2 linked regions of the Drosophila melanogaster genome follow. The protein of the gene in region 2 purifies or fractionates together with the protein of the main gene of each other region. This does not show direct contact. Each region holds a gene or a part of one and is shown on either strand. Other genes may lie near its edges. The genes, in order: Chrac-16 and Acf.

Region 1 (3,631 bases), on a different chromosome or scaffold from region 2:
GAAGTTCTACTACATCGATACCACCGACTACGAGGTGAAGTCGTATGACTATGATTTCGAGACCGGCGTGGCTAGCAATCCCAAGGTTATATTCAATCTGCGCAAGAATAGTCCCAAGGATCATCTGCTGCCCGATGGCCTGACCATCGATACCGAGGGCAACCTGTATGTGGCCACCTTCAATGGCGCCACCATCTACAAGGTTAATCCCAAGTGAGTAGTTCACTCTAACATTCGTGATCGAGTGTTAAATGTCGTACTTCATTGCAGCACTGGCAAGATTCTGCTTGAGATCAAGTTCCCAACCAAACAGATTACCTCCGCCGCCTTCGGTGGCCCCAACTTGGACATCCTGTACGTGACCACTGCCGCCAAGTTCGATCAGCCCGCTCCAGCTGGCACCACCTACAAGGTGACCGGACTGAACGCCACCGGCTATCCCGGCGTCAACCTGAAGGTCTAGGAGCTGCAATCTCTATCTATCCTTAGCCGCAGTAAAATGTACCAATCGAATCCAAGTGCAATTATATGTTATGCTCTTTAACGTTTTAAATCGCGTCTATCAATGTTTTGCATGCTAGTTAGGTTATCCTTTTTTGCAGTTCTAGTTCAAGGTCAGCTTAAGGATCACATTCTCTCCTGGGAATATCCAGGATCATCATGTAAACTCACAAAGAGGTTGACTATGCTCTACTTTACTCTGATTTCAAACAACAATCTTATCAGCCGCAGACACACGGTAATCATCCGCGGATCTTATGGTCATTTGGAGGACGCAGTGCTCTTATGCTTCTTTATTAATCAGTGGTTCTATAAACAATTTTATACTTATCGTCTAGTCTAAAATTAAAGATAGCAAGGTGGCGTAAAAAATCAGTCGATGTTTTGGTGAATGGAGATCATCCACTCAATTTCGGTGTAGATAAACATCTGCATGACCGTCTATTCATCAGACTCCGATTCCGATTCGGACTCTTCTTCATCGTCATCATCGTCGTCGTCATCGTCGTCGTCGCTGCCGGCGGAGCGATTTAGCCGCAGCATCTCCTGGAACTGGTGTACACGGATCTTTTGCGGCACGATCTGCAGCAGAAACTCCAGATTCTTGTTCTTATTGACCACCTGGGAGAGATGCTCGTACTTGAGCGCTTCGCCCGGTCGCTGGCCGAATTCCTCCGTGTATGCCGCGCCCGCCAAATGGCGAACGAATAGCTCCGTGCACTTGGTCATCAGGAAGAGCACCTCGTTGGTGATCAAGCCCGTGTCCATGGAGCTCTTCATGATCGTTCGCACGCGGCTGAGGGGCAGAAAGGTTTCCGCGGTCGGTGGACGCTCCACGGGTGGTTGGCTCCTTGGTTCGCCCATTTGTTTACTTAATTCCCAAGCAAACTATGGCTTGGGAATTTTTTTGGTTTTAGAGCTGGGCTCACAAGTGGAGCTGTGAAACTATCGATGTTACAATCGAGGCATGAAATTCGTACCTTTCTGAGACACTATCGATTCTTTTTTTTTATTTGCTATCGATGGTTATGGTTTATGAAGACTTAAAATAAGTAACCGCAGGGCTTCCCTTAAAACGAACAATGCTGGCATACTTCTATTTTTGCAAGGAATTGGATGTGCACAATAATATATGTGTTACTTTCTCAGAATTAAGTTATAGCGCTAAATATATAAAAATTGAGAAACCCATTCGGATTTGCCTATACTTTCAGCTCTAGCTGGAGCGGGAATTTAACCAAATAACGTTGCGCCGATATGCTATCGGTAGCCACAACAAGTATTTAATAAAAGTTTTCCAAATATTTCAATTTATTAGTGGAAAAACCGCTCTAAGCAAATACCTTTAACTTAATCAAGAGATTAGGGGTAAAACGATTAGGATCTGCACGATTTATAAGGAAACATTCAATTGCAACAACATTTAGACAAGTCAATATTATCTACTTTTGTCTTTTCAGTATGCAATCAACTTTGGATTTTCACACTTATAGCTTAAAAATCTGTCTTCATTTTCGAACTCACATATAAATAAATATCAATAAATTATTATTGCACTTGATTTGTTTGCAGCAACGTTGCCAGACTTCCGTAATCGATGACTATCGAACCTATCGCTGCGCGGCATGTGCAACACTGCGTTTTCTGCTGCCCCCTTTTGGCTGTTGTTTCGTGTGTTGACCAATAAATTTTTCGCGTACTTTTCCAACTTTTCAATTACCGAACCGCAATTGCCGCCAAAATAGATAGCCGATAGCTAGTCGAGCGAGTAACCAGCGAGTTTTTGGCCAATTCACGCGACGATCAGGGGCAGTGGAAGCAGGAGCAGGATCTCGACCAGATCGCCAGGAAGCGACATTTCCATTAGAGCGGTTCAAGTGAAAGCGAGTGAGCTGCACGGCACGAGAGAACGAGACAGACAGACGGCGAGAGTGAGAGCGAGCGAGAGAGCTAGTTAAATCCTTTCGAGAATTCCAGGAATTCAAGCATCCAAAACAGCTGCTGCTGCCGCAAAATCATCAACATCATCACCATCGCTGTTTGTGAAACGTTGTTCAAGCAACGGCGTGCCAACAAACCAGTATCGACATTTAGATCTAGATTCGAATCCCCTATCCACATAGCTTGTGGGTGCACTTTTCCAGTTGGCCAATCTCAACCAGCAATTAAAAATGGCCGCTGCCGCTGCGAGCGCAGTGAATGCAGTGAACGACTGCTTCAGCATCGGATCCACAGTCGTCTGTACGACCTGTTTCAACGAGGAGGTGGAGGGCGAGGTGCTGGCCTTCGATCACAACACAAAGATGCTTATCCTGAGTATCCTTTTGCAACGAAATCCCCGAAATGCATACCCACACACACACACAACTTGCCCGCCGGGTGAAAGCGAGCACTTTCTCCGGCTGTCCACAGGGATCTCTTGAGCTGTCTGGACAAAAAGTCACACTGTCCTTTAGATTCGTATATAATTCTAATTCACACTCATCTTAACTGATAGCATTCACATATCACCTATCTCTTATCAAACCCATTGTTTACTGCTTGACAATTTGGTTCTCCGTACATCGTATATCTTTGCCCCCCGTTCCTGCTCTTCTCTTCCCTTTCCAACCGCATAGAATGCCGATCCAAGTCCACGGAGGAGCTGAGTGATATCTACGCGATGAACCTCTCGCTCTGCAGCAACGTGCAGGTGATCAAGGAGTGCAACGGCAACTTTGATGATCCGCAAAAGCTTAATCTGGAACAGGTAAGCATGCCAGCTCTGACCACTTACATAAATATATATATATATATATATATATTGCTTATACAGGTCAAAATGCGTCTGAGGAAAACAGTTGAGCGAAGACAGGACTACTTGAAGTCTAAGAATGCTGATGTCAGTCCAGAGGCGCAGGAACTCTATAGAGCGATAGCCAAACAATACGGGGTAATGACCTCTTGCACGATGCCCTATCATCATTAACCATTGCTATTTCTTTTACTATTTTGTAGTACAATGAAGTCTCCTGGCAAGGACTTAACATACAGATCCTAAATGAAGTCACCATCTCGCCGCCGTACCGAGTGGACAACGTGGTGTCCAGCTCGAACAACGAAACTTCATGCAACTACATCAAGCGCATCG
Region 2 (8,010 bases):
TCACTCTTACTTTTAATGTCCAGTGAAACACACATAGCTTAGATTTCATAAAAAGTAATAATAACAATGCAGCATCCAACACTTTTTTCTCGATTAAGAAAGAATTTGGCAAATTAGGTTCTTTAAGCAATATTTTTTTTTTTGCGATCAAATCGTCTGTTTTAAAAACTGGCAAACTCCATCTACCCATTTTTCCTGCGTTTATACAGAGCTAAGCTCTTTTAAAATTTGTATTCATTTAATTTTAGCTTTTTACACCTCCAACAAAACAATTTTTTTTACTTATTTATTTTGAATCGTTTGTTTCCGGTCACTTCATTTATTGATTGTGGAATTTTCGTAGTGTCTACAATAATTTATAAATACATAAAGTCTCATAAACCAACAGATAAGGATTTTTTGCATATGCGTGTGCTGAACTTAGAACTGACATGCACGAAAATAAAGATCTTTAAATACACTTAATATTTGTGCTTAAATATATATGGTTTTCAACTACGGCTTAGAGTAGACTAACTAATTTACACGATAGCTGGTGGAGATCAGCGTCCGGCTCAGCAAGCTTTGACTTCCCCGTTCATATCGCTAGGCCTAAACGGTAGCTGCATGTCCCTACATCGATCGATCACGAATCGTTCTAGTTGACAACCAGCGCTGCAACGGATTCAAGATAAAGGATAAACAACAAGACCACTTACGGATTATCCCAATCTACTCACTCGTATATTTCGTTGCCTTCTACGTTGTACAAATCGCAGTTTCTAAACACCAACTGAATGTCGCTGAGCAGCTCCTCGTTTAGCTGGTAGGCGCCCATGTTTAGCTTGGATTTGATTTTAGCTAGATCCATGGGCGTTTTGATGATCTGATGGTAGTCGGGAACCTCCGATGTCAGCACTGGTCGCAGAAACGGCCAAGCGGCCTTGTGCTTCATGATCTGCTCAAGCAGATCGTACAAGGCGGCACTGTTCAACGGCATGTGCTCGTTCGTCCGACGCCCGCTTCTGCGATGGTTGTTGTTATTGACGCTGCTGTTGTTATTATTGTTGTTGTTGTTGCCGTTGCTTGGGCGGGCGGTCTTGTCGATAGATAGGCGCAAAGAGTTACGTGGTCGCTTTGCTTTTGGCTCCTCCTCATCGCGGTCATGATCACCATTCACTTGTTGGACAGAAATCACACGGGCTATTAGTGAGCTATTCATTAAGGAGAAATTTGTGGACTTACTGTTACTGTGCCGGCGCCTAGGTCGTTGTGGCATCGGCTTGCAGGTTTTACAAACGAAATCTGTGCGAGGCGGTCGCTTGAGGTGAACACATTCCAGGTGAAAGAATAGCCTGCATTGCACACATTTGATTTCACCGCCATCGTAGAAACACTTCTGACACACCTTTTCCTCATCTCTGTGGATTGCAATGGGTTCATTATCTAAATTTAATTTTCAATCCAGTTTTTAACTTACGACTCGTCTTCGATCGTATCTTCACCGGCGGTTAAGGATGCGTCATCGCTGACGTCTCCGCTGTCAACGTCTTCCTGAGCATGTTCTTCGATCTCTTTCGAAGTAAGTCTTCTGCTTGTTGGCCGTGTGCGGGGTCGCCTTAAAATTCGCCCATTGACTCTGGAAGATGAGGGGGTAGAGGTCACACTTTCGTCGTCCTCAACGTCCTCATCGTGTTTTTCGTTCTCGTGCTCCGCATCCTCATCGGTCATATCGTCATCCTTTTTCTCTTCCTCTTCTTCGTCTGTAGCTTCATCATCCTCCTCTTCTACGATAAACTTGCGTTTCTTCTTTGTCGCCTGCTTTTTATCCTTTTCGTTTTGACCATTGCTGAGACCCAGACTCTTTACGCAATCATTGCAATACCAGTTGCCCGGGGGTACAGACCTCAGCTTAGGCTTCAGGCAGAACATGTGAGTGCCAGCGTTGCATTCATCGCACAGCAGCATCTTCTCCGGATCGCTGCCACGCCTGCAGACCTTGCATAATGACTTATTGGTGGAACGCCTCCACTGAATACAGTCGTGCAAGATGTTTAGGTGCAGAAAGACTTGAGCAAAGCTTGTACTTTCCATTAGCGAAACTTCCCACTGGTGCAAACGCGAGTCGCAGGCAAGTTTTAAAGCCTCCTGCTTGGGGTCCCACTTCTTCATGCCGTAGGGTTCCTTCAGAAACCGTTTTCCAATAGCCTGCTCCACTTGCAGAAGGGCCGAGGCCATGTTATGCACGGCGATAGGAATCGAGACGGCATTCGTATGCTGATCCTCCTCATCGTCGCTGTCTGGTAGGGGTTTTGTGTCTGCAGAAGCTGCCAAATACATGCCAGGATCGCGATATGGTTTCCTGGCATATTTACCTAATAGTGCGCCATCGTCCTCCTCGTGAGTTTCGTGGGATTCGTTGTCAGAACCAGCTTCATCTTCCAACTTGCCACCCGGGCCCCACTGCAACTTGCACTGAGCGTCGTAATTGCCTCCAAGCAAGTCACTTCGCCACTTTTCCATATCCTTAACTTTCAGGCGGCCGAGATCACCAGTGTAAATATCATTTTCAAATTGAATAATTCGATCCACTAAATGCAAGCGCATCACTTCGTTTAGATCGGTCCCATTCGGTAACCCAAAGTTTGCTTCTCCGTATTTACGGTTAGTTTCAGATTCCATCGCCGCCATAAACTTCTTGCGCATTGTTTCGTTTTCTAGACTTAGCAAGTCTACTGGGCAGGTCTTAGCATGCTGTTCGATTAAGGAACGCAGAACGGATAGCTCTTGAAGGAGTTCATATTCACGGAGACCATTGGGATTGAGAGCCTTAATTAATTCATCGATCTCCTCGGCTTTGTAAATATATGCCCAACGCTGCCGTTGCCCATTTCTTGAATCATGCACAATACAAGATCGTTTGTCACCACTGCACATCAAGAGCTCAAAATGAGTGGGAGCCTCTGGAGAATCAGATTCGACATCCATGGGTTCTGCACTGCCGTTAAGGCGATGCTCTTGGTTCTCCTTGTTCTCTAGAGAGTGCTTGGCCTTTTTCTTAGTTTTCTTTTCGTCGTCTCCGTAGAGTTTGAGTAGATATACCCTTAGGTCCTTGCGATTCTTTGGCAATGCAGACTGCTGACGAATTTCTATTTGGGACTTATTTGTTATTGGTTGCTCCAAACAAGTGTCAAGGCTGTCCGGCGAATGCTCGACAAAGATCCCAGGCATAGACTCCAAAACGTAATATTTCCTGTAGCACCTATCCATGCCCAAGTAAACCAAAAAATTGAAAAGCTGCGAATGCAACTTAAGCATCTGCAACTCGTGCTTGCGATGTTGCTGATCCGATTGGGCGTGTAGCTCGGCAATACTCTTCTTTAATTTCTCGACCAACGCTTCCCTCTTTTCAGGCTCAACGCCATTTACCTCCAGGTGGTGCATTTGCGTGAGTTTTTTCCTGTTTATCTCTACGGCGGCTAATCTCTTATTTTCCCCGACAACTAGAGCTCGTAGATCTTGCCTGGCCTTTGCTGTTTGCTCCATACGCTCCTCAATCAAGTTAATCGTGCCCGAGTATGTCATAATTTGGGACATCAGGCAGCGAATCAGGAGCATTATATCCTTAAACTTTAGCTGATATACGGAATGATTTTTGAGAATGCGCAGGATGTGCGAGTGTTCCAGACGTAGTTCCAGACCAGGGTCTTCTTTTGACGAGTAGCCATTCCGGTACATGACTCTCCAGCGCTCCGCCTTTTCATTTACAAAAGCTCCGGATCCAAGTAGATGCAGTCGTAGCACTTCACTGAGAGTCAGTGCATCTAATGGTAGTTCATTTACCTATTGGGAAAATAAAATTAGTTTAGATAACACACGTCGGCACAAACAAAGTATTGACCTTAAAGGAAAAGTGCCTCTTGGCGTAAAGGTGACTTTTGGCGGCCTGCGCCATACTCCAATAGGGCTCCTGAGTTTGTGCAGCCCGATCGAGGTAGGTCACTGCGCATTCCTCCTCCTCTTCTTTTTGCAGATCGAAAACAGTGCCAAGCAGAACGAGGAGGATGTCCGATAGTGGGCCCGCAATCTCACGAGCAGTCAGTGCACGTGTCATCTCGTAGAAACTGAGGTTCTGACGGAACACCTCGATGCCGGACAGCAATCCTGTGTAAGTGTGCATAAACTCGCGCATCATGAAGGCATCACCCAGGAGGTGCTCAGGCAGCAATGTGACGATCTGTCTGTAGCGGGGCAGGACTTTTTGGTCGGTTCTCTCCAGGTCGTCCGTCTTTTGAAGCAGTAAATTACATTCGTTTTCAACGCGTTCAATCAACTGTGCCTTCTTTTCCGCCTTTTGTTTTTCCAACTCAATAAGCTTGGCCTCTTTTTCTCGCTTAACCCGCTCCAATTCCTCTGCCAGAGATTTAGCATCAGACTTGGCCTTCGCCTTTGACTTTGCAGCCGTTGCTTCACCGGCGACAATATATTTGTTGAGAGTGGATTGCTTCTTGCCGTCAGGTTTTTTAATCTTAGCGGGAGAATAACGTGGCATTTTGCCAATGAAAATTGTGGAGAAGTTTACGCCAGGGTCCGTCACGTACTGCTTGTATGCCTCTGGCTTGGGTCGAAGAAGTCCATCCACCCGCGATACATTGCTCTTTATAAACATACTCAGGTTTTCCAGGTTAAACTCCATGCGCGAGCGACGTAATTGCCTAAAGGGCAGATCAAGCTCTGCACTGGGATCGCCCTTGTTTGGTCGTAGTCTGTAGACCAGGTTGTCCGTGTCCTCATAGATACCATTGAGTGGTTCCGGCATATTTTTGTCCAACTTGACACCCAACACCGTGTACGTGGCGTTCTTCTTAGCTTGCACCGACACCTCCTCGCCGATAAAGTAGCGCTTGCGCAGAAACTTGGCCACTATCATGTTCAAGGTGTTGACCGCCGACTGTTGGGCGTGCTCCACAACCAGAAGGACGGGTGCCCGAAGGCTCTGTTTGAACTGCTCCATCTTCTTGCGAGCCGCCCGCTCACTTTTGACCGCCTCCTCGTAGGTGAGGTTCTCCTTGCCGGTGGCCTCGCACTGCCACACCGTTGAGTTGATCACCATCACGTGCCGGAAGTAGTGTCTGGATAAATAAATTTAATCGATCAGCGTTTTAAGGTCAATTTATTTTGATATAATTGAAGCTTGTCAGAGTAAAACATATTTAGTATGTTTGCTATTTATTAAAATAGTTTCGCGCTACCCAGCCTCTTAAATAATTGCTGATCTTAAAAATATCTAGAAGGATCATATAAGTCGAATTGGGTCAACAAATTCCAAATTCAAGAGCGCGCGCTTTGGCACCAGGTGGCAACTCCGCGGCGAGCAGCTGTGCGGCGGCAGCTGTAATTTCTTCCCGCCACCGAACAGCGTTTTTTTCGCCTTTGGCCCACGAGACTCGCACACTTATGCACCCCTGCGAACACACACACACACACACTGAATGGTGATGTACGGTACATCGTGTGCAAATGCTTTTGCAGCGTCGCTTTTGTTGTATACTTTAGCGCAGCGTCCACCTAATGGCAGGAGAAGGGAAGGGGCAGTTGCAGGAATGGTAGCAGGATGCACTTACTCATAGTCGCGAAAAATGCGCTTAGTGATGTAGCAGCAGAAGACCTGGTCGTTGTCGTGGAATGTTTCGTTCTTGCCCTCCTTCTGATTCAGGTCGAATCCTTCCCGCTTGCAAATGGGCATGTTTGGTGTTTTCCTTTTGCTCTTGAATGTCCTTAAGTTTAAATGGCAGTCCTTCGAAGTGCACGTTTAACAGTTCACAATAAAAACAACCGCGGAGCAACTGATAAATTTTACAACGCCAAGCGACAAGCGCAAAAGGCGCCCAACTTTTCACGCCTTTCCGGAGGGGCTTTCGATGCAAACGGTTTTCCAGCGATACGCGCGTTGACTTCCGACGCAATTATACAAGCTGTCGGCGGGCGACACTTTTCCGACAATTTCTACTATGTTTGTGGCTGGCTTCCTCAACACCAACTACCTAAATCCGTTTATTTTATAGCGCACAATCTATTTTCACGCGCATATTTTGGGGCCTATCGCTCTTCGACGTTAAACTATCGGTTATCGAGTTTCTGCGAACAATGTTACCGAACTTCACGAGCGCAGAAAACCGTAAGGACGCGGTCGGATGGATGTCAACAGTTCGATAAATAGTCCAGAATAATATAACGGTAATATTTTTTATGGGTTGCAACTTAAAAAAAACACAATATACGTAATATCAATTTCCCTAAAAGATATTGATGATATATGATAATCCCCAAAAGATATATGAAACATTAATATTTTCAACCATGCATCTCGTGAGTCGCCCATCTCAATTGCGATCTTGTGCGTGTGCGTTTTTCCAGCTGTGATAAGCGACGATCGCACACTTGCTCTGAATAAAGTATATTTGTTATTTATTCTTACAATTAATTCTACTAATAATGTACGCCAGACTGCTGCGAAACTTCGGCGCAAACGCCAGGTGAGGGAAATGATCGGCAGTTCTTTGTTAAGGCCGCTAAATCAAAAGACTTAATTTCGTTCTTGACGATTACATAAACCTTGCTAATTTGTTTTGGCTTGACGCAGGTGCTTTGCAACAGAAGCCAGCCCAAAAGTTCGGCCTATCAGCAAGATCCTTATTTCAAATCGTGGTGAGATCGCATGCAGGGTGATTCGAACCGCACGCAAGCTGGGAGTTCGTACCGTGGCCGTGTTCTCGGATCCGGACGAGAAGAGCATGCACACGCAGTTGGCAGACGAGTCGTACCGCGTGGGGGAAGCTGCCTCCTCGGCTTCCTATCTTCGCGGTGAACGCATCCTGGACATAGCCAAGCGTTCGGGCGCCCAGGCCATCCACCCAGGCTACGGCTTCCTCTCCGAGTCCGTCGAGTTTGCCGAGTTGTGCCAGCGTGAGGGCATCATCTTCATGGGTCCGCCCAGTTCCGCCATCCGGGACATGGGGATTAAGAGCACCAGCAAGGCCATAATGGCCGCTGCTGGGGTGCCGATCATCAATGGATACCATGGCGATGATCAGTCAGATGAGTGTTTGCAGCGAGAAGCCGACAAAATTGGCTTTCCCTTGATGATTAAAGCCGTCCGCGGCGGCGGAGGCAAAGGCATGAGAATCGCAGAAAAACCGGACGACTTCCTCACCGCTCTGAACTCAGCTCGCACCGAGTCCGAGAAGTCGTTTGGCGACAGCTCTGTGCTTCTGGAGCGGTACGTCCGATCTCCACGCCACGTAGAGGTTCAAGTATTTGCGGATCAGTATGGTGATGCTGTCTATCTGTGGGAAAGAGATTGCTCCGTGCAAAGACGTCATCAAAAGATTATTGAAGAGGCGCCAGCTGTAAGTGCACAAGAGCTTCGGCTATTTTAAAAATAATGCTCATTTATACAACAGCCAGGTTTGTCGGAAGATTTGCGTCGTGAGCTGGGCGAGGCTGCTGTTCGTGCAGCGAAAGCTGTGGGCTACGTAGGAGCTGGCACCGTGGAGTTCATTCTAGACAAAGAAGATCTCTCTTTCCACTTCATGGAAATGAATACCCGCCTGCAGGTGGAGCATCCTATAACGGAAATGATTACGGGCACCGATTTGGTTGAATGGCAGATTCGCATTGCCGCCGGTGAGCCATTACCCCTGAAGCAATCTGAGATTACGCGGCGTGGCCACGCATTTGAAGCTCGCATTTATGCAGAAAATCCTCGCGGAGGCTTTCTGCCCGGAGCCGGACCCCTGCGATATTTGTCTACTCCCCAACCATCAAACAACGTTCGCGTGGAGACGGGTGTCCGAGAAGGAGATGAGGTGTCTGTGCACTACGACCCCATGATTGCCAAGCTAGTCGTTTGGGGCGAAAACCGCACACAAGCGCTTAACTCATTGGTTGCCCGCCTGGGTGAATATCATGTGAGAACATTAAAAATTTGTACCTTTAAGACATTTCCCTAAAGGTAAACCAATTTTAGAT

Evidence for each region.
Region 1: the proteins of Acf (region 2) and Chrac-16 fractionate together in Drosophila melanogaster (co-fractionation; 2 studies listed by BioGRID, with this or other methods). This does not show direct contact.

What each region holds. Positions count from the first base shown.
Region 1 is NC_004354.4:12,016,509-12,020,139, forward strand, and holds Chrac-16 (chromatin accessibility complex 16kD protein), read right to left. Parts: upstream 1,454-3,631; 5' UTR 1,366-1,453; coding exon 943-1,365; 3' UTR 717-942; downstream 1-716. Other genes in the region: regucalcin, read left to right, coding at 1-213, 271-463; Lsm12a (LSM12 homolog a), read left to right, coding at 2,673-2,817, 3,120-3,250, 3,317-3,433, 3,499-3,630. UniProt on the Drosophila melanogaster protein: Histone-like protein which promotes nucleosome sliding of ATP-dependent nucleosome remodeling complexes. Part of the chromatin-accessibility complex (CHRAC) which uses energy/ATP to increase the general accessibility of DNA in chromatin.
Region 2 is NT_033777.3:31,792,083-31,800,092, reverse strand, and holds Acf (ATP-dependent chromatin assembly factor large subunit), read right to left. Parts: upstream 6,113-8,010; 5' UTR 5,726-6,112; coding exon 5,604-5,725; intron 5,112-5,603; coding exon 3,881-5,111; intron 3,823-3,880; coding exon 1,460-3,822; intron 1,401-1,459; coding exon 1,225-1,400; intron 1,159-1,224; coding exon 720-1,158; intron 655-719; coding exon 555-654; 3' UTR 294-554; downstream 1-293. Other genes in the region: Mccc1 (Methylcrotonoyl-CoA carboxylase 1), read left to right, coding at 6,475-6,515, 6,623-7,388, 7,443-7,949, 8,009-8,010.